3 linked regions of the Anolis sagrei genome follow. The protein of the gene in region 1 interacts with the protein of each later gene in a pairwise test. Links are inferred from orthologs where the notes say so. Each region holds a gene or a part of one and is shown in the gene's direction. Other genes may lie near its edges. The genes, in order: TAX1BP1, PLEKHN1 and GABARAPL1.

The links.
Region 2: the proteins of TAX1BP1 (region 1) and PLEKHN1 interact in binary tests that used the Homo sapiens proteins (3 or more experiments, as listed by UniProt). The two-hybrid records come from large-scale screens. The link is inferred for Anolis sagrei from reciprocal best matches to the Homo sapiens genes TAX1BP1 and PLEKHN1.
Region 3: the proteins of TAX1BP1 (region 1) and GABARAPL1 interact in binary tests that used the Homo sapiens proteins (3 or more experiments, as listed by UniProt). The link is inferred for Anolis sagrei from reciprocal best matches to the Homo sapiens genes TAX1BP1 and GABARAPL1.

Annotation. Positions count from the first base shown.
Region 1 is NC_090026.1:90,669,728-90,679,608, reverse strand, and holds the start of TAX1BP1 (tax1-binding protein 1), read left to right. Parts: upstream 1-4,999; 5' UTR 5,000-5,106; intron 5,107-9,881.
Region 2 is NC_090033.1:3,760,717-3,770,597, forward strand, and holds the start of PLEKHN1 (pleckstrin homology domain-containing family N member 1), read left to right. Parts: upstream 1-4,180; 5' UTR 4,181-4,430; coding exon 4,431-4,510; intron 4,511-9,138; coding exon 9,139-9,238; intron 9,239-9,881. UniProt on the Homo sapiens protein: Controls the stability of the leptin mRNA harboring an AU-rich element (ARE) in its 3' UTR, in cooperation with the RNA stabilizer ELAVL1.
Region 3 is NC_090022.1:168,108,812-168,118,692, reverse strand, and holds the start of GABARAPL1 (gamma-aminobutyric acid receptor-associated protein-like 1), read left to right. Parts: upstream 1-3,806; 5' UTR 3,807-3,965; coding exon 3,966-4,055; intron 4,056-9,881. UniProt on the Homo sapiens protein: Ubiquitin-like modifier that increases cell-surface expression of kappa-type opioid receptor through facilitating anterograde intracellular trafficking of the receptor. Involved in formation of autophagosomal vacuoles.

The DNA of each region.
Region 1 (9,881 bases):
ATTACACACTAGAGAGCCAAATCATAGTGAGTTCAAGCAATTAATTCACAATTTGCATTTATTAAAAAACATTCCATTACTTTAACAATACAGTCATCCAACTGTGAAATAACAACCATTCAGATGTGCTCATTGACAGAAAATGTGGGTCCTTGTGCCCATTGTGCCCTGTGAAGCTGCCAAGTTTCACACCTCAAGACTTTCTTTTCCCTCTGACGCTCCACCCTCCCATACATACACACATACACAATTAATGTGTCTGCTCTCACCTATGTGCTTATGGGAAAAGTCACACATTTCTTCAGTCTCACGAATACTCATTTAAATAACCTGGCAACCTTTGAATAGATTTAGTTCATCAATTCTAATTAAGTGTTGGCAAAGATCTCCAAAATACACATAGGATTTTCTTCTGTGTAGGTGATACTAGCAATACGTTATTTCTAATATGTTCCTAAGGGATGCCTTCCATCTTTATAAAAGTATGTGTACCACAATTAGTTTTACTACCTAGGGATCAAACATTGTCTAATTGAGTCTATAACAGGAGCATCGTTCATGACTGAAAAAGGCAGATACTAAGTGATGTCATGATTAATATTCTGCTCAATTATTTTAGATGAAAAACTGACGTATAAAGCACACTGTATAGCAACACCAAAAATGAACTCCTGTTTAAGTGATGACTGATATATACCTTTCACATTTCAAAGTAGCCCGAGGCTTTTTGGGAAGACTGGCGCAAAAGCCAGACTACATCCATAATGAAGCATTGATCTGTACTGCTTTGCATTGGTACCATTACACAGTATCATTATTATGCTTTATGCTTCCATCAACCCAAGCTCTGTTATACAACTGTGTAGATTTCTTTCTACTGCTTTATATACATTGGAGAACTATATTACATGATGCAGATAGTGAGAGTAAAATAAAAATATATTGTCTTTTGTAACTGTTGAAAGAAAAAAATGTAGAGCTCTTCTACCTGGTTCAATTCTTCTGGTAAACCCTGGGCTATTATGTTATGTTTCTGAGTTGCACAACTTCTAGTGGAAATTCTCAGCTCTATATCCGGTCAGGGCATTCCTGAGGTTTCATCCTTTTTATTTAACCCCTTTCTTTTCTTTTGCCTGAGGATGTAGGGAAAGTTTCCTCCGTTCCAAAAAATATAATGGGGGAAGGAAAGTCAAAGGAGAACCTACGTCAAATCTTCATTCCATGCTTCATGAAGGGAACCACTTGAAGGTAAAGGAGAGAAAAAGGAGTTCAATACACTGTAACGTTATGTAGTAATTACTGTATTTATGAATTTAGCACCAAAACAGACAAGAGTTCTTTCTTTCTCAGACCCTGGACTAAATTGGATAATACAGAACATTGGATAAGTGAAGGTTGGATAAGTGAGACTCTACTGTGTGTATACACACACACACACACTTTGGATAGCATAGGGAAGAGCTAACACACCCATGCTGTTTGTTTTGCTGCTTGTGCCACTGTTCAGAAGATTTCACCTCACTTTCTGTCCCTGTGATAATTGGATTTTTTTTAAAAATGGTTTGTTGAGGAAACAGGACTGGCTCTAAAGCTTCAGTAGAGACACCTTTTCCACATGATTATAGAATAATAGAGTTGGAAGAGACCTCATGGGCCATCCAGTCCAACCCCTGCCAATAATAATAATAATAATAATAATAATAATAATAAATAATAATAAACTTTATTTATATACCACTCTATCACCTCGAACGGAGTCAGGCTGGTTCCAAGTATCAACACCAGCACATACAGAATCGCAACATAGGCAAAAATAACAATACTAGCAACATAAACATGAAGAGTTTCATGTCATCCATTGACTCTGGGGTCTTTTTGGCTGCAGAAAGTGTCTTTTTGCATTCTCCATGGAAATGTCCCTCATTTCAGTCCAGCGTGCTACTGGTTCCTGGTCAATTGGGCTTAAAAGTGTGCATCGATTATTTCACCTAAAAATTTTTAATCTTTAAATTCTATAGGGATGTTCTTCTGGTTGTACTTCAGCATGATACTTAGTTTGGTGTTATTTTAGCTTTACTCTAATTTTTGCTTAAAGAAGCAGGAAAATTGTCAAAGCACCCCCAACACATGGCTATCCAGCTTCTGTTTAAAAGCCTCCAAAGAAGGAGCCTCCACCACACTCTGGGGCACAGAGTTCCACTGCTGAACAGCTCTCACAGTTAGGAAGTTCTTCTTAATGTTAAGGGGGAATCTCCTTCAAGAGATTACTCTTTTATGAGTGAATTTTCCCTCTCTTCCTGTTGCCTTGCTCCTGTTTTTAACTATGAATCATTTATAAGCAGGATATTTGTAAGTTGGGGACTGCCTGTACTCAACCATGGTCACATGTACATTTATAATTTAATGCATTTTCAAACCAGTATTGAAGAAAGTGCTCATGCTGTGTGGATGATTACATAGGAAATCCTCAAATCAGCTTGAGGCCCAGATGGTGATTACACAAAGTACAGAATCGTGATGCACATTAAGGGCTTCCCTTCATGTGCTTTTGTGGGAGTTTTTTGTTCGGCCGCCGCAATCTGAAGCTAGCTGCGAACTGCATTAAATGGTCAGCATAGATGGAGCCCAAGAGAATAAGGCAACCCCACCAAAGCTAAAGAATGAGGAATGATGTAAGAAGATGAATTGGACCAGTTGAGGCGGAATCATTTTGAAGAAAAAGTTTCCTTAGAGTTATATAAAAAAGCATTCCTAGCTATTTTAAGTTAAAAATATACAAATTATTCTAAACCATATTCCAAAACATTTTTTACATATTCTGATGAGATACATATGGCACATATGATCTACATTGGCCTCAACCCAGTATTAAACCATCCCTAAAGGATTCCGGCCCAGCTTACCTATCCGAACGTATGTCCTATGAACCATCTAGGATTGTCTGGGGAGGCCCTGCTCTTGATCCCGCCTGCCTCACAAGTGTGATTGGCAGAGATGAAGGACAGTGGCCCCCCTGGCTATGGAACTCCCTTCCCAGGGATATTAGATCGGCCCCCTCCCTCCTGACTTTCTGAAAAAAAAAACCTGGCTTTTGAGCAAGCTTTTGAGAATGCAGAATAGATAACACGGAACTATGAATGATGAACATGGAATGACCCGACGATGTTACTGGATAACGTATTGTCGAAGGCTTTTTTCAGGCTATATGGCCATGTTCTACAGGCATTCTCTCCTGACGTTTTGCCTGCATCTATGGCAAGCATCCTCAGAGGTAGTGAGATCTGTTGGAACTAGGAAAAAAGGGTTTATATATCTGTGGAATGACCAGAGTGGGACAAAGGACTCTTGTCTAATGGAGCTAGGTGTGAATGTTTCAACTGACCACCTTGATTAGCATTTGATGGCCTGGCAGTGCCTGGGGCAATCTTTTGTTGAGAGGTGATTAGATGTCACAGATTGTTTCCTCTCTGTTGTTTTGCTGTTGTAATTTTAGAGGTTTTTTTAATACTTATACTTACTGGATTTTTAGCAGGATGACACCAATGATTATATGTTTTAACGGTGTTTATATATGACTTATATTGTAATGTTGGTTGTTTTTAATTGCACTTTTATGAATGCCTGGCATCGAATTGTGCTAATCTGTAACCCGCCTTGAGTCGCCGTATGGCTGAGAAAGGCCGGTTTATTTATTTAATTTATTTCGTATACTTCTACCCCGCCCTTCTCAACCCCCGAGGGGGGACTCAGGGCGGCTTACAAAAAGGCGCATCTTGGTGCCTACATAAATACAATAACATATAAAACCAGCAATTAAATGGTCAACAATTAAAACAACAATATATCTCACAATCGATAGCCAATCTCAGACACAGTGTTCGCCAGCTCAGAGTCCATATTTAGTTCCACAATTGTCCATTCCTATCCGTCGTCACAGTCCTTTGTTCATCTGCCAGATTGCCCAAACGCCTGGTCCCACATCCATGTTTTTAATTTCTTTCTGAAGGAAAGGAGGGATGTTGCTGATCTAATTTCCCCAGGGAGTGAATTCCATAGGTGAGGAGCCACTACTGAGAAGGCCCTGCTCCTCGTCCCCGCCAATCTCACTTGTGACAGAGGCAGGGCCGAGAGCAGGGCCTCCCCAGAGGATCTCAGACTCCGAGGTGGGACGTAGAGGGAGATGCGTTCGGACAGATACGCTGGGCCGGAACCGTATAGGGTTTTGTAGGCCAAAACCAGCACTTTGAATTATGCTCGGAACTGGATCGGCAGCCAGTGGAGCTGACATAACAGGGGGGTGGTATGCTCCTTGTATGACGCTCCGGTGAGCAGTCTGGCTGCCTCCCGCTGGACTAATTGAAATTTCCGAACAGTCTTCAAAGGCAACCCCACGTAGAGTGCATTGCAGTAATCTATCCAGGATGTAACAAGAGTGTGGGCCACCGTGGCCAGATCCGACTTCCCAATAAATATCGTAAATAATAAATAAATAAAATAATAAATATTTCCCTTGCAGTATTGTAAACACCAATAATCCCATTTACACCGTTTGAAACTGCATTATATTGTCACATGCCTTTTAACTGCATTGAGCTGCATTATATGAATCTATATCAGGTATGGGGAAACTTGAGTCCTCCAGGAGTTTGGGACTCCAACTCCCAGCATTCCTAACAGCCTCAGCCCCCTTCCTTTTCCCCCTCAGCCGCTTAAGCCGCTGAGGGGGAAAAGAAAGGGGCCTGAGGCTGTTAGGAATGGTGGGAGTTGGAGTCCCAAACACCTGGAGGGCCCAAGTTTCCCCATACCTGATCTACGTGGACCATATAATGCAGTTTGAAGGTGCAGGTTGGATTAATTACGTGTAAGAGTAACGAGGAATACCACTCTTTTCCGAGGGGAGGGGGCGATGTTATGAGAGGGCCGGACGCAGGAATGACGCGCAAACACGCACGACGTCGATTCGCTGACGTCACGCGCAGAGGACGGGGGAAAGCCCGAGCGCCGCGGGCCGGAAGTGACGCTGGCGTCTCGGAGGGGGCGGGGTTCCAGGGCGGTAATGGCGGCGGCTGGCGTTCGCAGTTGTTGAAGCCTTCGGCGTCTGAGGAGGTGAGAGGCCTAGTCGGTTGACGGCTGTTTCTTGGCACTTGGAGTGTGTTTGGCGAGGTTGTGAGGGGTTAGTGCGGCCTGTTCTTTTTCTCCTGTCACGTTTGTGGTAACAATTCCCCGCCCCCCTTTCCGAGAGAGACGGAAGGTGAGGGACCAGGCCTGTTGTCTAAAGCAGAGGGTTTGCTTCCAAAGGAGGCGGTTAACCTTGGCTTGGAGGGGGAAGCCAGGTAGGAGCCGCCTGACGAGGCCGAGGGAGAAGTCTCGAAAGGGGCCTGTGCTTAATCTGTTGTGTGTGGGGCGTTATGTAAGTTGTGAGAGGATTATGGCCGGGCGAAAGGAGGAGAAAAGCTTAGCATGGAGGGGAAGGAGGAGATTGTCGCTGGAAGACGCGACGTGGAAGGAAATACAGGGGACTCCAGCACACGCTGCTGCAGTACGTATATTATAATGTGGAAGAGCTCTTCCCATCAGAAATCATAGAATCATAGAATTGGAAGAGACCTCATGGGCCATCCAGTCCACCCCCTGTCAAGAAGCAGGGATATTGCATTCAAAGCACCCCTGATAGATGGCCATCTAGCCTCTGTTTAAAAACCTCCAAAGAAGGAGCCTCCACCACACTCCGGGGCAGGGAGTTCCACTGCTGAACGGCTCTCACAGTCAGGAAGTTCTTTCTCATGTTCAGATGGAATCTCCTCTCTTGTAGTTTGAAGCCATTGTTCCGCATCCTAGTCTCCAGGGCAGCAGAAAACAAGCTTGCTCCCTCCTCCCTGTGACTTCCTCTCACATATTTATACATGGCTATCATATCCCCTCTCAGCCTTCTCTTCTTCAGGCTAAACATGCCCAGCTCCTTAAGCTGCTCCTCATAAGGCTTGTTTTACAGACCCTTGATCATTTTAGTTGCCCTCCTCTGGATACATTCCAGCTTGTCAACATCTCTCTTCAATTGTGGTGCCCAGAATTGGACACAATATTCCAGGTGTCATCTAACCAAGGCAGAAAAGGGGTAGCATTACTTCCCTGGATCTAGATACTATGCTTCTACGGATGCAGGCCAAAATCCCATTGGCTTTTTTTGCCGCCACATCACATTGTTGGCTCATGTTTAACTTGTTGTCCACGAGGACTCCAAGATCTTTTTCACACGTACTGCTCTCGAGCCAGGTGTCCCCCATTCAGTATCTTTACATTTTGTTTTTCCTGCCAAAGTGGAGTATCTTGCATTTTCCTGTCATTTGAATCCATTGCTCCGTGTCTTTGTCTCCAGAGAAGCAGAAATCAAGATTGTTCCGTCCTCAATGTGACATTGTTTCAAACAATTAAATATGGCTGTCATGTCATGCCTTCTTAAACTTTGCATCACCAGGCCAAATACACCTGGCTCCTTCAGCCATTCCTTATGGGACTTGGCTTCCCAATCTTTTATTTATTACTAGCCGTCCCCTGCCCCGCGTTGCTGTGACCCACGGGGGGGGGGGGGGTTCTGTGTGGGAAGTTTGGCCCAATTCTATCATTGGTGGGGTTCAGAATGCTCCGTGATTGTAGGTGAACTATAAATCCCAGCAACTACAAGTTCCAAATGTCAAGATTCTATTTTCCCCAAACTCCAGCAGTGTTCACATTTGGACATATTGAGTATTCGTGTAGAGTTTGGTCCAGATCCATCGTTGTTTGAGTCCACAGTGATCTCCAAAACCAAAGGACACTACCCACCAAACCCTTCCAGTATTTTCTGTTGGTCATGGGAGAACTGTGTGCCAAGTTTGGTTCAATTCCATTGTTGGTGGGGTTCAGTATGCTCTTTGATTGTAGGTGAATTATGAATCCCAGCAACTACAACTCCCAAATGACAAAATCAATTTTTTAAGTGAAGAACATACATTGGGTTGTTAGGTGTCTTGTGTCCAAATTTGGTGTCAATTCGTCCAGTGGTTTTTGAGTTCTGTTAATCTCACAAACGAACATTACATTTTTATTTATATAGACTAGCCGTCCCCTGCCACATGTTGCTGTGGCCCAGTCTGTGTATATGTGTTTTCTGTGTGTATATGTGTTTAAAGACTGACTGGGTAAGATTGCAGGAATAAATCTATGACTAGTAATTTCCAACTTTGAGATTACTAGCCACGTGCACTACCATCTTCAGGTCCTCCAAATCTAGGAAGGAGCACAGCTAGTGTATCAGCCAAAGGTGATAGTAAGCACTCCTGACCATTGCATCTACCTGGGCTGACATTTGGAGAGACAGATTCAGGAGTACTCCCAAGCTGTGAAGACAGTAAACCCATCCAGAACTGATTGACATATCTCCATCCCCAGATTAGGACCCTTGTTGGCAACCAATTCTTTTTTGTCTGAATTCAGTTTCAATTTGTTCTTCCTCATCCAGCCCATTACCTGCTCCAGGCATTCATTCAGAGGAGACACAGTATCCATAGCTGAAGCTGTTTTTGAAGGCGCGGAGAAATATATTTTGGTGTCATCAGCATATTTTACAATTTTTAACCAAGGTGCCATTCTATCCCCAATGTTCTTTAATATTTACTATAAAGCCACTCAGAGAGATCACCTTGCCCATGTTTATGGATGATCTCTCCCAGTGGCTTCATAGTAAACATTAAAGAACATTGGGGATAGAATGGCACCTTGGTTTAAAATTGTAAAATTTTATTATTTTGGATGCCAGATAAATTTAGTTTCTGGTTGTTTGAGAGGTGCTATTAAAAATAGGCCTAACTGATAATAAACTCCATACCATACTATACCATGCCACAAACTCTGTAGTGACTGGATATTATAATATTTACTTGAATGTAATGCTTACCTTTTTTGGCTGCACTAGGTTGTGCATTGGATTTGCGTAATTTGGTAATCTTGGTGCTGATCCAAAGCAAAAGAGGAAGCTGTTTCAGAAGTTGCACCTGGAGCTCTTATTTGAGGGATGTCACCTCAAATTTGATTGCCAGGCTTAATGCTATGCAGTCCTGGAATTTGTAGTTTGGCAAGCCACTAGCATTCTTTGGTAAAGAAAGCTCAAGACCTTGTAAAGATACATGATTTCATAACATTGAGCCAAGGCTGTTAAAGTGGATTCATTTTACAGCACAGATGCATCCTAAGGTTTTCCTTTCAATTGCTAAAAGCCTTGGTGTTCTAACACTTTTGTTTTTAAAAAATCAAATCTAAGCATGTAATTTTGACCAGATTACAAAGAGTGCATTTTTGCTACTGCACATTATATTTACCAGCAAATCCTTTTTCTTTTTTTTGGTTTCAGAGTTTGAAAATTGAGGGGCACATTAGATTCAGTGGTACATTAGAATAGAGTAAATACAGTAATATTAAATACAGTAATTATAAAAGCAAAAAAAAAAGAAACTTAATGTCACACAGTCATAATTCTGTTTTACTATATTATGAAAACAGCTCTTTTATTTAAATTATATATTTTTGATATTTCTGCTGGTTGTTTGAGAGCTCCACTTAATGGAGAGACTATTGTATGGATTTCCCAACATGCAATAGCAATATTACTTTCACTGAAGCAATTCAGTAGACGGGGCCCAAATGATGTGCTAGTTTGTGCATTGGATTATGGCTGCATCTACACTGTAGATATAATGCAGCCTGGCTCTGCTTCAACATAGGATTTGTAGTTTGGTAAGGCACAATCAGTCTAAAGATATTCTGAAAACCACAACTCCCTTGAATCTACAGCATTGAGCCATGGCAGTTAAAGTGGGATCAAACTTTATTAATTGCCCTTGTGGCTGAAAGACCCAAAGTGGAGGCAAGTACGGACTGACACAGAAAGGGTGAACATCAATCCCTTTCCCTCTCACCTTTTCCCTGAGGTAACATAGCAGGCAAAGCCAATGTGGTATAGTGGTTTTTGAGTGTTGGGAACAGGGTTCAAATCTTCACTTGGCCATGGAAACCCGTTGGGTGACTTTGGGCCAGTCACACTCTCTTAGCCTCTCAAGAAAGCCACGGCAACCCCTTCTCTCAACAAATTTTGCCAAGAAAACCATATGATAGGTTTTCTTGTATGAAATGCCTTGAATGGACATACAGACACAAATTCTGGAGAAAAAACAGCAAAATGAAGTGCATCCAACCCTGTAAGAACTTATCCCCCACCTTGACTATAAGCAGGCAGAGGGAGGAAACAAGATAGTGCGATCAGTATAGCAGTGTTCTCTTGGCTAAAGTTTGGTTTCTGCTTTCAAATCTGCAATTGATGAGGTATATAGCTTGCTCTGTTCCAAATAGCTTTTGCTTCAGAGGGCTTTGGAACTCCCAACTACCAGAAGCCCTAGCCAACTTGTCCAAAAATCAGGAATTCTGGAAACAATCTCTCAAACACCTTGAGGGTCACAGGTTGTGGAGGCCTAGCGTAGTGGATTTTTGGGGTGTATATGCATTCAAGTCATTCATGATTATTTATTTACTAAGTAACCAAACACTTGTGGCTACTCCTTGCTGATAAGAGAGTTATGTGGCCTGTAAATGAATCTTTTAAATCACGTAACCATGTTTCCTTGTTGAATTGTATATGCTTTAGTGAAGGGAAACTTCTTTCAGTTTCAGATTTTCCCTGTAAAGCTCTACGCATATTCTTCAGGGATTAGATATCCTTGATAAAATTGTAGCAGATTTAGAGATGAATTACAAGAATACTTATTAGCTTTTTTTTCAACTGGAAACCAGAAGGGTGTATTTAGCTTGTAATAGCATGTATGGTGAATAAGTTATTTATGTTTTGATTACAG
Region 2 (9,881 bases), on another chromosome or scaffold:
CTCTCTCCATTGGTGTGGAATTTGCCCATTGCCTCTCCCATAGGTAAAGGTTTTCCCCTGACATTAAGTCCTCCACCACAGGCACCCCAGGGTTTCTTACTCTCTCCATTGGTGTGGAATTTGCCCATTGCCTCTCCCATAGGTAAAGGTTTTCCCCTGACATTAAGTCCTCCACCACAGGCACCCCAGGGTTCCTTACTCTCTCCATTGGTGTGGAATTTGCCCATTGCCTCTCCCATAGGTAAAGGTTTTCCCCTGACATTAAGTCCTCCACCACAGGCACCCCAGGGTTCCTTACTCTCTCCATTGGTGTGGAATTTGCCCATTGCCTCTCCCATAGGTAAAGGTAAAGGTTTTCCCCTGACATTAAGTCCTCCACCACAGGTACCCCAGTGTTTCTTATTCTCTCTATTGGTGTGGAATTTACACATTGCCTTTCCCATAGGTAAAGGTAAAGGTTTTCCCCTGCCATTAAGTCCTCCACCACAGGTACCCCAGTGTTTCTTATTCTCTCTATTGGTGTGGAATTTACACATTGCCTTTCCCATAGGTAAAGGTAAAGGTTTTCCCCTGCCATTAAGTCCTCCACCACAGGCACCCCAGTGTTTCTTACTCTCTCCATTGGTGTGGAATTTGCCCATTGCCTTTCCCGTAGGTAAAGGTTTTCCTCTGACATTAAATCCTCCACCACAGGCACCCCAGTGTTCCTTACTCTCTCCATTGGTGTGGAATTTGCCCATTGCCATTCCCGTAGGTAAAGGTTTTCCCCTGACATTAAGTCCTCCACCAGCAGCCACCCAAGATTTTTCCTAATTTTCCGATGGGTTTCCGTATCCGCGGTTTAAGGGAAATCGCATCCCGGGCGGACCAGCAGCCATCTGCAGCGCAGGAGTGGAAAGGTTCATGCCGAGAGAGGTTAGAGGCAATAAAAGGATACAAAATAACACTATGGAGAGGAAAAAGGTTAATTGATTAATTAATTGATAATTAATTAATTAATTAATTAACTAATTAATTTTATTGGGGGGATTAAGTACAATGATAGGAGTGGAAAGAAAGCGAAGTAATAAGAAGGCTTCTGAGTTGCAACTGCTGCTATGGCCGCGTTCATACAGGTTAGCCCAAGCGGGGCAATATAGAACTCAGGAACTCCCTGCTGCAGGTCAGATCAGCTTGAAGGCAGCGAGTTCTGGGTTTGACCTCAACCTAAGCTGCTGAAAAGAGCTTTAAAGAAAAACTTTCAAAAAAGTAACTTTACTCATCCTCCCCTCAGCCTTCTTCGATTCGTAGAGATGCTCGCCTCTTCCTTCCTCAGCGGACCATGCGAAGAGCTTCGTGCTTGCAGAAGCCTCCAAAGCCCAAGCGTGCACCTCGCCTGCTTGTTTTTGCAGACGAACAAGACTGGAGTTCCCATCCAATGAGAATTCTGAATCATCTTCTGCGGAAATGAGTCGGGCATCCCTTGAAACAATGGAATAGCCCATCATGCCTTGCTTCTGCAAACTAGCCACACTGGGATGGGACTCCGACAGGGGCGGCGCAACCATTACGCGAAGTAAGCATTCGCGGTAGAGTTGATTTTGCCCAGGGGGCGCTCTTGGGGGAAAATAGACCTTGACATATGCAAGTTGTAGTTCCTGGGATGTAGAGTTCACCTACAACCAAAGAGCATGCTGAACTCCACCAATGATGGAATTGAACCAAACGTGTCACACAGAACTCCCCTGACCAAGAGAAAACACTACAAGGGTTTGGTGGGCATTGACCTTGAGTTTGGGAGTTGTAGTTGCTAGGATTTATAGTTCACCTACACTCAAAGAACATTCTGATCTCCACCAACGATGGAATTGAACCAAACTTGGCACACAGAACTCCCCCGACCAAGAGAAAACACTACAAGGGTTTGGTGGGCATTAACTTTGAGTTTGGGAGTTGTAGTTGCTAGGATTTATAGTTCACCTACAATCAAAGAGCATTCTGATCTCCACCAACGATGGAATTGAACCAAACTTGGCGCACAGAACTCCCATGACCAACAGAAAACACTGGAAGGGTTTGGTGGGCATTGACCTTGAGTTTGGGAGTTGTAGTTCACCTACATCCAGAGAGCACTGTGGACTCAAACGATGATGGATCTGGACCAAACTTGGCATGGATATCCCATATGCCCAAATATGAACACAGATGGAGTTTGAGGGAAATAGACCTTAACATTTGGGAGTTGTAGTTTCCGGGATTTACAGTTCACCTACAATCAAAGAGCATTCTGGACTCCACCAATGATGGAATTGAACTCAACTTGGCAGACAGAAAATACTTAAGGCCATCCAGTCCAACTCCCTTCACCGGGACAAGGAAACGTAATCAAAGCCCTCCTGCCTAGGGGCATCCTTTGTTGGGATGGTAATCAAACTGGCCAATGTTCAAGAAGAACTAACACCGTATTTGAAAAAAATTATGAATAAGGTCAGAGAATCCAAAGAAATACAAAATTCATGGTGACAAGCAAACATTTCAGTGATACATAAAGAAAATGCTGATCCAGAAAGAGTCAAAAATTATAGGCCCATTTCGTCGCTGAACTTAGATTATAAAATATTTAGCTTTGTGATTGCAGAAAGACTTAAAAATTTGCTCAAGACAAGAATTAAGGAAGAACAATCAGGATTCTTGCCGAACAGACAACAGAAGGAAAATGTTAGAATAATAACAGATTTGATTGAATACTATGAAATTAATAACCAAAAGAAAGTGATGTTCCTGGCCCTTGACGCAGAGAAAGCCTTTGATAATGTCAATTGGAAATGTCAACATTCACACTTGAGAGTCCATTCTCCCACCCTGGACATCATTCCAGAGATATATAAACCCAATTTTCCTAGTTTCCAACAGACCTCACAACCTCGGAGGAGGCCTGCCATCGATGGAGGCGAAACGTCAGAAGAGAATGCTTAGAATCATAGAATCAAAGAGTTGGAAGAAACCTCCTGGGCCATCCAGTCCAACCCCATTCTGCCAAGAAGCAGGAATATTGCATTCAAATCACCCCTGACAGATGGTCATCCAGCCTCTGTTTAAAAGCTTCCAAAGAAGGAGCCTGCACCACACTCTGGGGCAGAGAGTTCCCCTGCTGAACGGCTCTCACAGTCAGGAAGTTCTTCCTCGTATTCAGATGGAATCTCCTTTCTTGTAGTTGCATCCTAGTCTGCAAGGAAGCAGAAAACAAGCTTGCTCCCTCCTCCTCCCTGTGGCTTCCTCTCACACATATTATACATGGCTATCATATCTCCTCTCAGCCTTCTCTTCTTCAGGCTAAACATGCCCAGTTCCCTAAGCCGCTCCTCATAGGGCTTGTTCTCCAGACCCTTGATCATTTGAGTCACCCTCCTCTGGACACATTCCAGCTTGTCAATATCTCTCTTGAATTGTGGTGCCCAGAATTGGACACAATATTCCAGGTAAAGTGGTCTAACCAAAGCGGAATAGAGCATGGGGAGCAGGACTTCCTTAGATCTAGACACTATGCTCCTCTTGATACAGGCCAAAATCCCATTGGCTTTTTTTGCCGCCACATCACATTCCTGGCTCATGTTGAACTTGTTGTCCACGAGGACTCCAAGATCTTTTCCACACGTACTGCTCTTGAGCCAGGTCTCATTCTCCCATTTTGTATCTTTGCATTTTGTTTTTCCTGCCTAAGTGGAGTATCTTGCATTTGTCCCTGTTGAACTTCATTTTGTTAGTTTTGGCCCATCTCTTTTGGCTTCTGGAATATAACCGTAGTACCAACACTTTGGGGAGGCGGTCGGACACCAAGTCACTTTTCTACTTTCTGCTCCACGCGTTGTGTTTGCCTTCTCTTCCACCTAAGAGTAGAGCAGGCTTTGTTTTGAGTTGCACAGTCAGCAAGAGCGAGACACAAAACCTGAATCACACCTTTGGACGAAACTCCCTTGGCCTTCCTTTGTTTGGCTAGCTACAGGTGAAACCGGCAAGGAGTCCCTGTGTCTGGGATATATTTTTTGCGGGTGGGGGGTCGTGCCTGGAGGAAGGGGAGAGTCTGTCCCTCCAGTTGCTCCTCGAGTGTCCCGGCTTTGTGTGATCGAGACAAAGCAAAGCCAAAGAGGAGGAGGAGAAGTCGGCCAAGCCAACCGCCTTGGGCGAAGAAAGCCTGTTGATTCCCAGCTCACACACCCCAAAGAGTCACCCTGGCAGGAGGAAGTGGGGAATGTCTGAGTGACACATCGAGAGATCCACACACTGACACACAAACACACACCTCCTCTGCCTGCCTTGCTTAGGCTGGGAAGGAAAACACTCTCTCCTCCTCCTCCTCCTTTTGGCCTCCTCCCTTGGCTCCTGTGCTCTGCTGCCCAGCTGTTCCTGGATTAGAGAGTCGTGGAGCAGGCGCTTGAACCACCCGCAACAACATGGGGAACATGGCTTGTGTTCCCCACGCCTCGGGGAGGCTCAGATATTCCTTTTCGAGGAAGCCCTCGCTCAGGAAAGAGTGAGTATCGTACCCGAAGTGGCCTTTGGAACACTTCTTTGTCTAGTTTGTCTTACAAAGGGATTTTTCGTCTTGGGTCGTCCCGAAGGGAGAAAAATCGGGCGAGTCCCTTTCTCGGGACCGATCGCGAACAACCGTGAGAAGTTCTCATAGATTAGGAATTAGGAAGACTGGGAACCACAGCTCTAGATGGATCGCCGGTGGGGTTCAGTGTGCTCTCTGGCTGCAGAGCAAACTACAACTCCCACTTTGGAGAGTCAGTCCCTCAAACCCCTTCAGAAGGTGGGGGTCCTGTGTGCCAAGTTTGGTCCAGGTCCATCATTGGTGGGGTTCAGTGTGTTCCCTAGCTGTAGGGTGAACTACAACTCCCACTATGGGGCGTCAGTTCCGGTGGGGTTCAGTGTGTTCTCTGGTTGCAGGGTAAACTACAACTCCCACTTTGGTGAGTCAGTCCCCTCAAATCCCTTCAGAAGGTGGGGGTTCTGTGTGCCAAGTTTGGTCCAGGTCCATCATTCGTGGGGTTCAGTGTGTTCCCTAGCTGTACGGTGAACTACAACTCCCACTATGGAGTGTCAGTTCCGTCAGGCTCCTCTGGTAGATTGAGTTAGTTATGGAGGTTATGTGTGCCAAGTTTGGTCGAGTTGGTTGGTAGTAGCTCTGGTTGGGTTGACCTTTGTATTCCCAAGCAAGGGGTTCAGTGTGCTCTCTGGTTGCAGGGTAAACTACAACTCCCACTTTGGGGAGTCAGTCCCCTCAAACCCCTTCAGAAGGTGGGGGTCCTGTGTGCCAAGTTTGGTCCAGGTCGAGTTGGTTGGTAGTAGCTCAGGTTGGGTTGACTTTTGTGTTCCCAAGCAAGGGGTTCAGTGTGCTCTCTGGTTGCCCCTCAAACCCCTCTAGAAGGTGGAGGTAGACATGGGGGTTATGGACCCTGAGTTTGGTCCAGGTCCATCATGGGTGAGATTCAGTTTGACTCAATTCTGTTGTCTCTGGTTGCAGAGTAAACTACAACTCCCACTTTGGGGAGTCAGTTGCCGCAAGCCCCTTCAGAAGGTGGGGGTCCTGTGTGCCAAGTTTGGTCCAGGTCGGGTTGGTTGGTAGTAACTCAGGTTGGGTTGACTTTTGTGTTCCCAAGCAAGGGGTTCAGTGTGCTCTCTGGTTGCAGAGTAAACTACAACTCCCACTTTGGGGAGTCAGTCCTCTCAAACCTCTTCAGAAGCTGGGGGGTGCCAAGTTTGGTCCAGGTCAGGTTGGTTGGTAGTAGCTCAGGTTCGGTTGACCTTTGTGTTCCCAAGCAAGGGGTTCAGTGTGCTCTCTGGCTGTAGGGTAAACTACAACTCCCACTTTGGTGAGTCAGTCCCCTCAAACCTCTTCAGAAGGTGGGGGTCCTGTGTGCCAAGTTTGGTCCAGGTCGGGTTGGTTGGTAGTAACTTAGGTTGGGTTGACTTTTGTGTTCTCAAGCAAGAGGTTCAGTGTGCTCTCTCGCTGCAGAGTGAACTACAACTCCCACTTTGGTGAGTCAGTCCCCTCAAACCTCTTCAGAAGGTGGGGGTTCTGTGTGTTCCCTAGTTTGGTCCAGGTCCATCATTGGTGGGGTTCAGTGTGTTCCCTAGCTGTAGGGTGAACTACAACTCCCACTATGGGGGGTCAGTTCCGGTGGGGTACGGTGTGTTCTCTGGATGCAGGGTAAACTACAACTCCCACTTTGGTGAGCCAGTCGCCTCAGTAAGTGAGTAAAGATACTGCAAGTCCCATCATCCATGGTCCATCCCCCTTAGAACTACTTCAAGATGTAGAGTGGTTCATGAGTACTCTGGGCCTGGTCTGTGATTTGTAGGGGCTACAATGCTCTGTGGGAAGTAAATTGGGTGAAGGTACTACAAATCCCATCATTCGCGGCCCATCCTGCCCTAAACCACACCAGGTTGTAAAGTGGGCCATTGGGCCTCTGTGTGCCAAGTTTGGTCCTGATCCGTCATTGGTTTGGTCCCGACAGCCTCAGACCCTTACTTTTCCCCTCTCTGCCTCCAAAGAATGTTCGAATGTTGAGGCTGGGCAATCAGACACCATATGCAAATTGTACCACAGTGGCAACCAATCAGAACGTTGCCCCATACATACCCACATACAAACATTCACTTTTATTATATATAAAGGTTCTGTATCAATATACCCACATGGCTAACACTCTCTCCTAACAATGCTACAACTCACATGATTCTGTACGCATGGGCTGTGAGCGCGCATTGTTTTCGTTGATGCTGCATTTTTTTTTATAGTCACAGATTTTTGTCAAATTTTCTGGTATTTTAGTCACACTATTCTGATCCGCTCCGGTATGGGAGGAAATATTTCTTATCCTAACACGACTTTGTAAACAAAGCCTTCAAAGTCACCACCTTGCAAATTCTTTTCCTGCGAAGCAGGGACATGTGATAATTCGAATGCTGGTTGGGTTTGGGTGGGGGTTGATTTTGTGATTTGGGAGTTGTAGTTGCTGGGATGTATAGTTCACCTACAATCAAAGAGTATTCTGAACTTCACCAGTGATGGAATTGAACCAAACTTGGCACACAGAACTCACATGACCAACAGAAAACACTGGAAGGGGTTGGTGGGCATTGACCTTGAGTTTTGGAGCTGTAGTTCACCGACATTCAGAGAGCACTGTGGACTCAAACAATGAAGGATCTGGGATTTATAGTTCACCTGCGATCGAAGAGTGTTCTGAACTCCACCAGTGATGGAATCAAACCAAACTTGGCACACAGAACTCCCATGACCAACAAAAAATCCTGGAAGGGTTTGGTGGGCATGGGCCTTGAGTTTGGAAGTTGTAGTTCACCTACATTCAGAGAGCACCGCGGACTCAAACAAAGATAGATCTGGACCAAACATGTCGCCAATACTCAATATATCCAATTGTGAACACACTGATGGAGTTTGATGAAAGTAGACCTTGTCAGTTAGGACTTGTAGTTGCCGGGATTTATAGTGCACCTACAATAAAAGAGCATTCTGAACTCCAGTAACACCTACAATAAAAGAGCATACTGATTTCCAGCGACGATGGACTTGAACCAAACCTGATACACAGAACTCCCATGACCAGCAGAAAATCCTGGAAGGGTTTGGTGGGCATTGACCTTGGTTTTGGGAGTTATAGTTCACCTACATTCAGAGAGCACTGTGGACTCAAACAAAGATGGATCTGGACCAAACATGGCACCAATACTCAATATTCCCAATTGTGAACACTGATGGAGTTTGGTGAAAATAGACCTTGTCAATTGGAAGTTGTAGTTGCTGGGATTTATAGTTCACCTACAATCAAAGAGCATTCTGTACTCCACTAATGATGGAATTGAACCAAAATGATGGATCTGGACCAAACTTGGCACTGGAGGAGTTTGGGGGAAAACAGAGCTTGACATTTGGAAGTTGTAGTTGCAGGGATTTATAGTTCACCTACAATAAAAGAACATTCGGATTTCCAGCTACGATGGACTTGAACAAAACTTGGTGCACAGAACTCCCACGACCAACAGAAAATCCTGGACGGGTTTGGTGGGCATGGGCCTTGAGTCTGGAAGTTGTAGTTCACCTACATTCAGAGAGCACTGTGGACTCAAACAAAGATGGATCTGGACCAAACATGACACCAATACTCAATATACCCAATTGTGAGCACTGATGGAGTTTGGTGAAAATAGACCTTGTCGATTGGAAGTTGTAGTTGCTGGGATTTATAGTTCACCTACATTAAAGAGCATTCTGTACTCCACCAACAATGGAATTGAACCAAACTTGGTGCACAGAACTCCCATGACCAGCAGAAAATAGTGGAAGGGTTTGGTGGGTATTGATCTTGAGTTTGGGAGTTGTAGTTCACTGACATCCAGAGAGCACTGTGGACTCAAAAAATGTTGGATCTGGACCAAACTTGGCACAAATACTCAATATGCCCAAATGTGAGCACTGGAGGAATTTGTGGGAAAATAGAGCTTGACATTTGGAAGTTGTCGTTGCAGGGATTTATAGTTCACCTACAATTAAAGAGCATTCTGAACTCCACCAACGATGGAATTGAACCAAACTTGGTGCACAGAACTCCCACGACCAACAGAAAATATTGGAAGGGTTTGGTGGGCATTGACCTTGAGTTTGGGAGTTGTAGTTGCCCTACATCCAAAGAGCACTGTGGACTCAAACAATGATGGATCTGGACCAAATTTGGCACAAATACTCAATATGCCCAAATGTGAACACTGGTGGAATTTGGGGGAAATAGACCTTGTCAATTAGGAGTTGTAGTTGCAAGGATTTATAGTTCACTGACATCCAGAGAGCACTGTGGACTCAAACAATGATGGATCTGGACCAAACTTTATAGATTGTTCCTTAAGAGTCCTTCTAAGCTGCCAACTTATCAGGGAAGCGCTCAGCAAGCATTTTGCAGATGGGCCAAATCAAACAAAGAGGGGAGAAAGGCAACGACACCTGTTTTGGTTCCTGATGGCCTCCTAAGAGCCTTGTGATCCAGTTACCGATTTCACCCCATGCCTTTCCTGATTGGCTTTGTTTGCTCGCCTTGATCTCAACTATGTTCTTTCCCTTTAATTGCTTTCCAGACAAGACAGTAAGAAGAAACTAGCCGGCCTTTTTGGTTTCGAACCAGGGCAGGAGAGGGATGTCACCTCCGACAAGATACTCCAGTATATCCCTGGAAAAGTAAGTACGACGAGCTTTCGTGGGGTGGCTATCTTATCACGTATACGACACTTGTTTGTTTTTACATCTTCCTTTGTCTCATTCATAGGTAGGTCACTATTGTGTTGTCGAAGGCTTTCATGGCTGGAATCACTGGGTTGTTGTAGGTTTTTCAGGCAATATGGTCATGTTCTAGAAGCATTCTCTCCTGACGTTTCTGAGATTCGGAGAGGAGAGGGGAGAGCAGGCGAGGGAGAGTGTGTGAGGCTGGAGGGAGGCTCATGTCAACGAGTCCCTTCAAGGCATGGGGGTTCTGTGTAGGAAGTTTGGCCCAATTCTATTGTGCCCATTGCATGGCAGCATGGTGTGCATTTGCCGGCGAGGGAGAGCGTGCGAGGCTGGAGGGAGGCTCACGTTGGCAAGTTCCTTCAAAGCATGGGGGTTCTGTGTAGGAAGTTTGGCTCAATTCTTATGCGCCCGTTGCATGGCAGCATGGTGTGTGTTTGCCGGTGAGGGAGAGCATGCAAGGCTGGAGGGAGGTTCACGCTGGCGAGTTCCTTCAAAGCATGGGGGTTCTGTGTGGAAAGTTTGGCCCAATTCTATTGTTCTTGTTGCATGGCAGCATGGTGTGTGTTTGCCGGTGAGGGAGAGCGTGCGAGGCTGG
Region 3 (9,881 bases), on another chromosome or scaffold:
AAGAGGGGAGGAAGGAGAAAAAGAGGAAGAAAAGGGAGGGAAGCAGAAGGGAAGGGGGAAGGAGAAAAAGAGGAAGGGGAAGAGGAAGAAGGGGAAAGGGAAGAGGAGGAGGAAGGAAAAAAAGAGAAGGAAGAGGGAGAGAGAGGAGGAGGAGGGAGAGGAGAAAAAAAGGTGGAGGGGGAGGAGGAGGAAGAAGAAGAGGAAGAGGGAGGAAAGAGAAAAAGAGGAAGAAAAGGGAGGGAGGGAAGCAGAAGGGAAGGGGAAGGAGAAAAAGAGGGAGGGGGAAGAGGAGGAGGAAGGGAAAAAAGAGAAGAGGGAGGGAGAGGAGGAAGAAGAAGAAGGAGAAAGAAAAGGTGGAGGAGGGGGAGGAGGAGGAAGAAGAAGAGGAAGAGGGGAGAGAAGAGGAGGAGAAGGTTGTCAAGGCGACTACGCAGGGCAATTAACAAGGATGGAAACGTCTCTTGAAATGCAAACAGTGGTTAAGCATGACCTTGGCAAATACACTCGAGCGGCTTATATTTATTTTTTAAAAAACAACTTCAAAACAAGCAAATCCACAGAAATCCTCGAGAGCCCTGTCATCCTATGTCGAGGTCGTTGTTTGGTGGTGGTGGTGTTCCGAGGCTCAGCCTTGGGGCAGAGACGATCCCCCGACCTGGGCAGGCGCAGGCTCAGCAGGGACAGCTCATTGGCCAAGATGCGTCCGGGCTGCACCAAGGAGCCTCGCCTAAGCCTCCCTGCGTCACGCGGCGGCGGCTGTCTCGACGTCTGTCTCCTCGCGCTCCTCCCTTTTGCGGCGCTGCCTAGACCCGCCTTTACGCAGGAGGAGGGAGGGGGGCAGGGGGGCGTGACAGCCGCATGTAGGTCGCCTCAGAAGACAAGCCATCGATCGAGAGGGTTGCTGCTGCTGGGTCATCCTTACAAAACATCCGATGAAGGGAGCCTCATGCGGGCCTCCATGGGCTGGCAGTGGGGTCGTGGGGAGCCCCTTCTAAACAACCTCCCCTCCTTGGCTTTCAATTACAAAGGCAACCAAGGCGTTTCGGCCCCGTTGTTGTGATGAATACCCCACTTTTTCTCTCCGTAAGGAGACTCCAAGAGACTTACATTCAGGCCCGTAGCCAGGATTTTGTTTGGGACGGGGGGGAGGCTGAGTCTGAATGAGAGAGGATCTACCCCAGCAAACCTTTTGTATCGTTATCCCAATACCCCCATGCCAGAGGCGGCCCTAGGTAATTTTCAACGGTAAGCAAACAGTATCTGGCGCCCCCCCCCCCCAACCAATCATTGATATATATTTTCTGTTTGTGGTGGGAGTTCTGTGTGCCATATTTGGTTCAATTCCATCATTGGTGGAGTTCAGAATGCTCTTTGATTGTAGGTGAACTATACATCTCAGTAACTACACTTGCCGCACTTGCTCCCTTGCCTGGCCCGCTTTGGGTCCAGAGGCATGCCTGAAGACCCCGGTGTGTGCACCAAAAGTCACCTCTTCTCCTGACTTTCTCCTCAGCCATTGGGACCCAGAGAGGGAGAGGTGGAGATGCCCACCTTTCCTGAAGGTAGGTGCAAAAACAAAGGAGGGAGCGGAGGTGGGAGATACCTCCAGCCGGAGGGGCTCTCTCTCTCTCTCTCTTGGTCCCAATGGCTGAAGAGAAAGTCAGGAGAAGAGACTTTTGGTGCGCACGCTGGGGTCTTCAGACACTCCTCCAGACCCGAAGTAGGCCAGGCATGGCGGCTCCGCTCCTTGGCCGACCTGCGGATTGGGGAGAGGAGAGGAGGCGGGTGGAGCGCCGGGGATCAGGAAAGGGAGCCGGTCATGGGGAAGGGATCGAATGCGGAGAACAATTGAGCACTGGCTCTGCTTGTGCACCCGGTGGCCAGGTGGAGCAGGAAGAAGAGGGGCTAGGCGAGGCTCAAGGGCCCGGCCCCTTTGGGAAGAGGATCGCCCGGCAGCGAGGCAAGAAAGCCGAGGCTCCCCCCGGACTGCTAGGGCTATTGTGAGCTGAGGGGGCGCTCCTCAAGTGGCAGTCAAGGGGCATTTACAGAAGCGCCTCTGTGCCCCTGGCAAAAAAAAGTGTTCTGCGACCACTTACTTCGCGTAATGGACGAGCCGCCCCTGCCCCATGCATATGGGATATGAATAAACATAACAGTTTAAATAAGAAATGTTATTTATTTACTTTCATTAACAATATGTATAGAATAGAATCGTAGAATCCAAGAGTTGGAAGAGACCTCATGGGCCATCCAGTCCAACCCCCTGCCAAGAAGCAGGAATATTGCATTCAAAGCACCCCTGACAGATGACCATCCAGCCTCTGTTTAAAAGCTTCCAAAGAAGGAGCCTCCACCACACTCCGGGGCAGAGAGTTCCACTGCTGAATGGCTCTCACAGTCAGGAAGTTCTCCTCCGTCACAAGCACGGTTGGTGGGGACGAGAGAGAGGGCCTTCTCGGTGGTGGCCCCTTGCATCTAGAACATCCTTCAAATGCATTCAAATGAAGTCCAAGAAGTCCAAGTCCAAGAATAGGTAGAGAAGGAAGAAGAGAGAGAAAGGAAGGGAAAGAAAGGTGGGGGTGGGGGGAGGGAGGGAGGGAAGAGAAGGAAGGAATGAGAGAAAGAAGAGAAAGAGGGAGGGAAGCTTAGCCACAGCCACGCGTGGCGGGTACAGCTAGTAAATAAATAAACAAATAAATAAATGGACTGTCTGCTTTCAACCGGATTAAAGGGCAGTGCAGAAGGGGCCCAAATCATCTGATGCGGCCCTCCCGATGCTGGACTACAACTCCATGCCTTGGTCACCTCTAGATTGGACTACTGCAATGCACTCTACGTGGGGCTGCCCTTGAAAACGGCTCGGAAATTCCAACTGGTCCAACGGGCAGCAGCCAGGATGTTAACTGGGGCTCCTTACAGAGAGAGGTCAACCCTCCTGTTCAAGGAGCTCCACTGGCTGCTGTTTATTTTCCGAGCCCAATTTGAGGTGCAGGTGCTTACCTACAAAGCCCTGAACGGTTTGGGACCATCCTACCTGCGTGACCGCATCTCTTTCTATGAACCCACACATTCACTTTGTTCATCCAGAGAGGCCCTGCTCGTGATTCCGCCTGCATCGCAGGCGTGCTTGGTGGAGACTCGAGACAGGGCCTTTTCCGTGGTGGCCCCCCGACTCTGGAACGCCCTCCAAAAGATCTTAGACAGGCCCCTACATTGGCAGTCTTTAGAAAGAACTTGAAGACCTGGCTGTTCCGATGTGCCTTCCCAGATTAGGAATCTCCAATACCAAGTCCCAGAAGCACTTTAGTAGAACTAAGATTGCTGCACACCGCACACTGCACTTACTTTATAATCCTACATACCTCCTGCCACATCAGCACTTTTAATCTTGTACCCATTACTCTGGACCGGCCCAGTTTTATAGTGTCTTGATGTATTGTTTATTGCTTGTTGTTAATATTGTTTAACTGTTTTTAATTTGCTTTAGGTGTTGTATTGTGTTGTGTTTTGAGGCCTTGGCCTATGTAAGCCGCATCGAGTCCTTCGGGAGATGCTAGCGGGGTACAAATAAAGTTTAATAATAATAATAATAACTCGTTTGTTTCCTTCACTATGAGACATCATGACTTACAAAAGAGATGCATCATTTTTTGGAAGCTTTCCTGATTCTAGTGTGGCCTTCACCCAAGAAACGTATCCCCCTTTGATTCAAGCAGGAGCCTGCCTCTCCTTTGATTCCACCCCCTACACCCCCCCCCCGCGCAGAAATGGTGCAGTCCCAAAATGCGGGCGGCAGAGGCCGATGCGGGCTTTTAGCTCGGTGACGTCACAATGCCCGGCTTGAACCCTGGGTGTTTGTTGTGAATCTTGTGATCAGCTGAGCGAGGGAGGGAGGGAGACAGAGAGAGAGAGAGAGAGAAGCAAGGAGGCCGCCGTCGCGAAGGGGTTCTGAGTTCGCCTGAGACATGAAGTTCCAATACAAGGAAGACCATCCTTTCGAGTACAGGAAAAAAGAAGGGGAGAAGATCCGAAAGAAATATCCAGACCGGGTGCCTGTGAGTGGAAGGGGGGGGGGGGGGGAGGGGAACAGGCGGATGGGTGGGCGGGTCTATATTTTCAGGGTGTCTGTTGTCCTTCAAAGAGCTCCACTGAGACCGGACGTCGTTGTTGTTGTTGTTGTTGTTGTCCTCTAATCCCCCTCGCGCCCCCCCCCTCCGTTGGCCGGGGTGCTGCTTGGGAGCCGAAAGGGGCGGAGCTCCGTTTCCCCCTCTCCCCTTTCCTAAACATGGAAGCGGGGAGGACAAAGGCTGGGGGACGAAGTAACCTTTAGTAACCCGAAGCAGGCGCCCCAGGAGGGCTAATCCTTGGCACTGTGGCAAGTGTTGCTATATTTCTGTATTTCCCACACATACCTACTGCTTTTGGTCAGCAAACAAGTAGCTTACGGCTAGACCGCATCCTGGGGATGTTTGCTTCCGGTTTTTTGGTAGCATTATAGCCCTTCTTTCTAGCACAGCATTTCTCAACCTGGGGGTCGGGACCCCTGGGGGGGGGGTCGCCAGGGGGCGTCAGAGAGGTCACCAAAGACCATCAGAAAACACAGTATTTTCTGTTAGTATGGGGGTTCTGTGTGCCAGGTTTGGCCCAATTCTATCGTTGGTGGAGTTCAGAATACTCTTTGATTGTAGGTGAACTATAAATCCCAGTAACTACAACTCTCAAAGCTCAAAGTCTATTTTCCCCAAACTCCACCAGTGTTCACATTTGGACATATTGAGTACTTGTGCGAAGTTTGGTCCAACCACCATGTCAGACTACACAGAGAAGCCATTGAAATCCACAAGCATGTGGACAATTTCAACAGAAAGGAAGAGACCATGAAAATGAACAAAATCTGGCTACCAGTATTAAAAAACTCTAAAATTATAACAGCTAAACAACAGAGAGGAAAAGCCAGGCACAGATTAACACCTCCCAGCAACAGATTTTCCCAGACTCAGGCAGGCCTTCAAATGCTAATGAAGGTGATCAGCTAAACATTCACACCTAATTGCAGCAGGGAAGAGCTCCTTGCCCCACCCCAGCCATTCCACAGATATATAAACCCATTTTTCCTACTTCCAACAGACCTTCTCAACCTCTGAGGATGCTTGCCATAGATGCAGGCGAAACGTCAGGAGAAATGCCTCTAGAACATGGCTCTATAGCCCGAAAAAACCCACAAGAACCTAGCAAATCCACCATTGTTTGAGTCCACAGTGATTTCTGGATGTAGGTGAACTACAAGTCCAAAACTCAAGGTCAATGCTCACCAAACCCTTCCAGCATTTTCTCTCGGTCATGGGAGTTCTGTGTGCCAAGTTTGGTTCAATTCTATCATTGGTGGAGTTCAGAATGCTCTCTGATTGTAGATGAACTATAAATCCCAGCAACTACAACTCTCAAATGACATAATCAATTCCTCCCCCCCCCCCCCCCTCCCCAATCTCACCAGTATTCAAATTTGGGCATATCATGTATTTGTGCCCAGTTTGGTCCAGTGAATGCAAATACATCCTACATATCAGATATTTACATTACAATTCATAATAGTACCAAAATGACAGTTATGAATTAACAATTAAAATAATGTTATGGTTGGGGGTCACCACAACATGAGGAACTGGATGAAGGGGTCACGGCATTCGGAAGGTTGAGAACCAGTGTTCTAGCAGGTTTGAAATCAGGATAATAGAAGAGGCCTCATGGGCCATCCAGTCCAACCCCCTGCCAAGAAGCAGGAAAAACGCATTCAAAGCCCCACCAATAGATGGCCATCCAGCATCTGTTTAAAAGCCTCCAAAGAAGGAGCCCTCCAACACTCTCCGTTCCACTGCTAAACGGCTCTCACAGTCAGGAAATTCATAGAATCAAAGAGTTGGAAGAGACCTCATGGGCCATCCAGTCCAATCCCCTGCCAAGAAGCAGGAAAAACTCATTCAAAGCCCCACCAACAGATGGCCATCCAGCCTCTGTTTAAAAGCCTCCAAAGAAGGAGTTTCCACCACACTCCAGAGCAGAGAGTTCCACTGCCGAGCAGCTCTCACAGTCAGGAAATTCTTCCTAATGTTCAGATGGAATCTCCTTTCCTGTCGTTTGAAGCCATTGTTCCACATCCTAGTATCCAAGGCAGCAGAAAACAAGCCTGTTCCCTCCTTCCAATGACTTCCCCTCACATATTTCTATATGCCCTCATCATGTTTCTTCTCAGCCCACTCTTTAAGCCACTCCTCATTGGGCTTGTTCTCCAAACCCTTCATTTTAGTCACCCTTCTCTGGACACATTCCAGCTTGTCAACATCTCCCTTCCGTTGTGGTGCCCAGAATTGGACACAGTATTCCAGGTGTGGTTCTCACCAAGGCAGAATAGAATAGAAGGGGGAGCATGACTTCCCTGGACCTAGACCAGGGGTCCTCAAACTAAGGCCCGATGGCCAAATATGGCCCTCCAGGGTCATTTACCTGGCCCTTACTCAGGGTCAACCAAAGTCTGAAACAACTTAAAAGCACACAGTAACAACAAGAACAACAATCCTATTTCATCAGCCAAAAGTAGGCCCATATTTCCCATTGAAATGCTAAGAAGTTTATAGTTGTTAAAATTGTTCATCTTAATTATTGTGTTGTTGTTAGGTGTTTTTTGCACTACAAATAAGATGTGTGCATAGGAATTCATTCATGTTTTTTTTTTCAAATTATAATCCAGCCCTCCAACGGTTTGAGGCACTGTCACCTGGCTCTCTGTTTAAAAAGTTTGAGGACCCCTGATATAGACCCTAGACTCCTATTTATGCAGTCCAAAATTTCATTGGCTTTTTTTGCCACCACATTTTTGGCTCATGCTTAACTTGTCCACAAGGACTCCCAGATCTTTTTCACACATACTGCTGCTATCAAGCCAGGCATCGTCCCCCATTCTGCATCTTTCCATTTCATTTTGTTCTGAGTTGTCATTTGTAGCACAGTAGTAGAAAATCACCAGCAGTTTTTCATTCAGTTGTTCATTCAAATATGTTTTATTTACTAGTACTCTGTTGGCTTTTGTGCTGTATTAGTCATTATAGGCAGTCCTCAAGTTACAAATATCCAATTTATCTACAGCATCTAGTTAACAACAAGAGGAAGTGAAATGAAATCTACTTCTCAGAAGGGAAATTCACTCCTGAAAGTTATCATGGGGAAAAAGTATCTCCACTGAAGCTTTATCAGCAATCCTTGTTTCTAGGACAAGACAATTTTTTCAAAATCCAATTATCTCAGGGACGTAAAGTGAGATGAAATCTTTCGAACAGGAGCATGGGCAGCAAAACAAATGCTACAAACCCTTCGCTGTGCTATCCAAAACTGAATTAAAATGGCTGGAGTTACAGTTAAAATGTACCTGACTTATATAAAAAATTAGTTTAAGAACTAACCTACAAAATCTATCATGTTTGCCTGTATAAGGATTTCTAGACATTATTATTATTATTATTATTATTATACTTTATTTGTACCCCGCTACCATCTCCCCAAGGGACTCAGTGCGGCTTACATGAGGCCGAGCCCACAATACAACAATAAGACATAGCAACAGTAATACAACAATAAATAAAACTCATAAACAGAAAATAGCAATACACATTAACAATAACACAACGACGAATGTACTAATTAAATTTTTTAGAAAAATAATGCTGGGCGTGACCAGGTTTATAAACAGGATAGAAATTTTGGAGAGGGATAGGGCGTGCAGACAATCATAAATCACTACTAAAGTCTCTTAAAATCAGGAGACATTTCCAAAAGTCAGCATTCTCTATATTGCTGATATCTCTCAGAACTACCTCTAGATAAAGCTGGATTTCAAAAAGTATAAATCCCATCTGTAAGCCTGAGGGGACAGGAAAGCTAAATGTGTGTTCAGTTAGCAGGCACTTGTTGAAAAACACCTTGCTCAGGATATAGGCTCCGTGGTGGGATATTTTTTTAAAAAAAATAGGCATGTTAACAAAATTGCATAAGTGATACAAGGCTAGAAATACCCACTGCTGCATGATCAGTTGTTGAGAAGCTATTAAAAGCCATGTAGTTGGAATTAGGAAACTAAACTATTTATCTAGCCTTGCACATTTGGTTGCATTTGTTGGACAGTAAAGAGCTGCAATTAAAGGAAGAATGAAAAAAGTTACAAAGCTGTATCAGAAGGGAAATGGGCCTAGCTGACACCTCTGCAGTGACATCTCACAAGAGAATGCGATTGCTTAGTGGCAGAGTGCATACTTTGCAGCCCTGAGGTCCCAAATCTAATCCCTGGTATGATCAGATGCTGGCAGAGTCCTTGGAGTACTACTGACAAGCACAGTAGGTGTGTGTGTTGCTGTGTTAAGTGTAAAGGTGACTATTCAATAAAGATATAAGTACAGTTGACTCTGTGTCAGCTGCATTTGTTTGTTGATTTTATCTGTATTTCTCCCAAGGTGGGAAGCATCTTTCATCCTTCCCCTTTTGGCACGAGATAATTCTCTCTGTGTGAAGACAGACTAAAACAACTGGTGAGAGCTTTAACCAGAGACAGATCTACACTAACCCACCATACCAGGCATATGATGGATCAGCCCAGAGATGGGCCTGACAGGCAGACCCCACCCAGCTGCTGTAGGGATGGGAGAGAGTCCCAATACTCAAATTGGTTTGGTGCCACTGGCCAGCCACCCTCTGGTCCTTGATGTTGCCACAGTCTTCTGGCATAGCATGGATTCTACAATTGGTCATCACCTGCAGTGACATTGGCCAGGGAGACGAGGGAGGGTGAAGGGGAGAAATCATCCCCTCCTCTCTCCCTCTCTTTCCAGAGCACCCCATTGCCCTGGCCAACGTCACGGAAGGTGACTGCAGTAGGACCCATGTCATGTCTGGAGACTGCCACAGCATAGTAGGAAAAAGGGATATGCTAAGTGACATCCCATGTCCTTGGCCCACCTGACCCCAGGAAATGTGGGATGACAGTGAGGACAGTTGTAGCTAATTCTGTTTAGATGGGCCCAAGGCTGTAGGGTACTATGAATTCTGGATCAAAATTTGGAGTATCCTTAACTCTGGTTAACATTAAGGTGGTTTTGTTCTGTTACCCCAGAGTTCATCCAGGCCTACTGTGTTTCTTTCTTCTCCCTCAATAGCTTGTTGGTTTCAGGCCCAGCTACCTGCACTGCAGTGTACTAGCTCAGGATGTAGCCTTTCAGCTTTTTGAGAAAGTCTGGCTGGCATAAGTGTGTGGTTACAGCAAAAGCAGCCCAGCAGTTGCCTTATCTGGAAAGAACCTGTATATAGTCCTTTGGTGTTCCTGTGCTCCTTTTTTACTAAGCAAGTAGGACATGCATCACAGATGGCTGCAGGGAGAACTGTTTCTGCACTCTGGCTTCCAAATAGTGTTCCAGAACACTTCATTCCTTCTGCTCGCCCATCATTGTGGTGGTAAATCTGTGTGCAGAGAGCATGTCCTGCACTTCATAATGACACCCTTTAAAAAAAAGACCTGCGTGCATTTTTGTTAACATTTTCATTTCCCAAAGACTGAAGATCCCTCCCTCTTGTATGCTGTCATTTGATTAGATATGGATCGGTATCTAGAGAACTAAGTTTACTATTAACATTTATGTGGTATGTGTGTCCTTGTGTGTTTAAAAGAATAAAACCAAATGCTTTCAGACTTCAGATCTGGAACACAGAGATAACATAGGGAGGAAGAAAAGGAATGGAAATAAGATCACCAATTTTGGGGTCATTATTTTATATTTTATATGCCATATATAAACAAATATTTGGCATATAAAGCATATACCAACATACCAAGCATATACCAA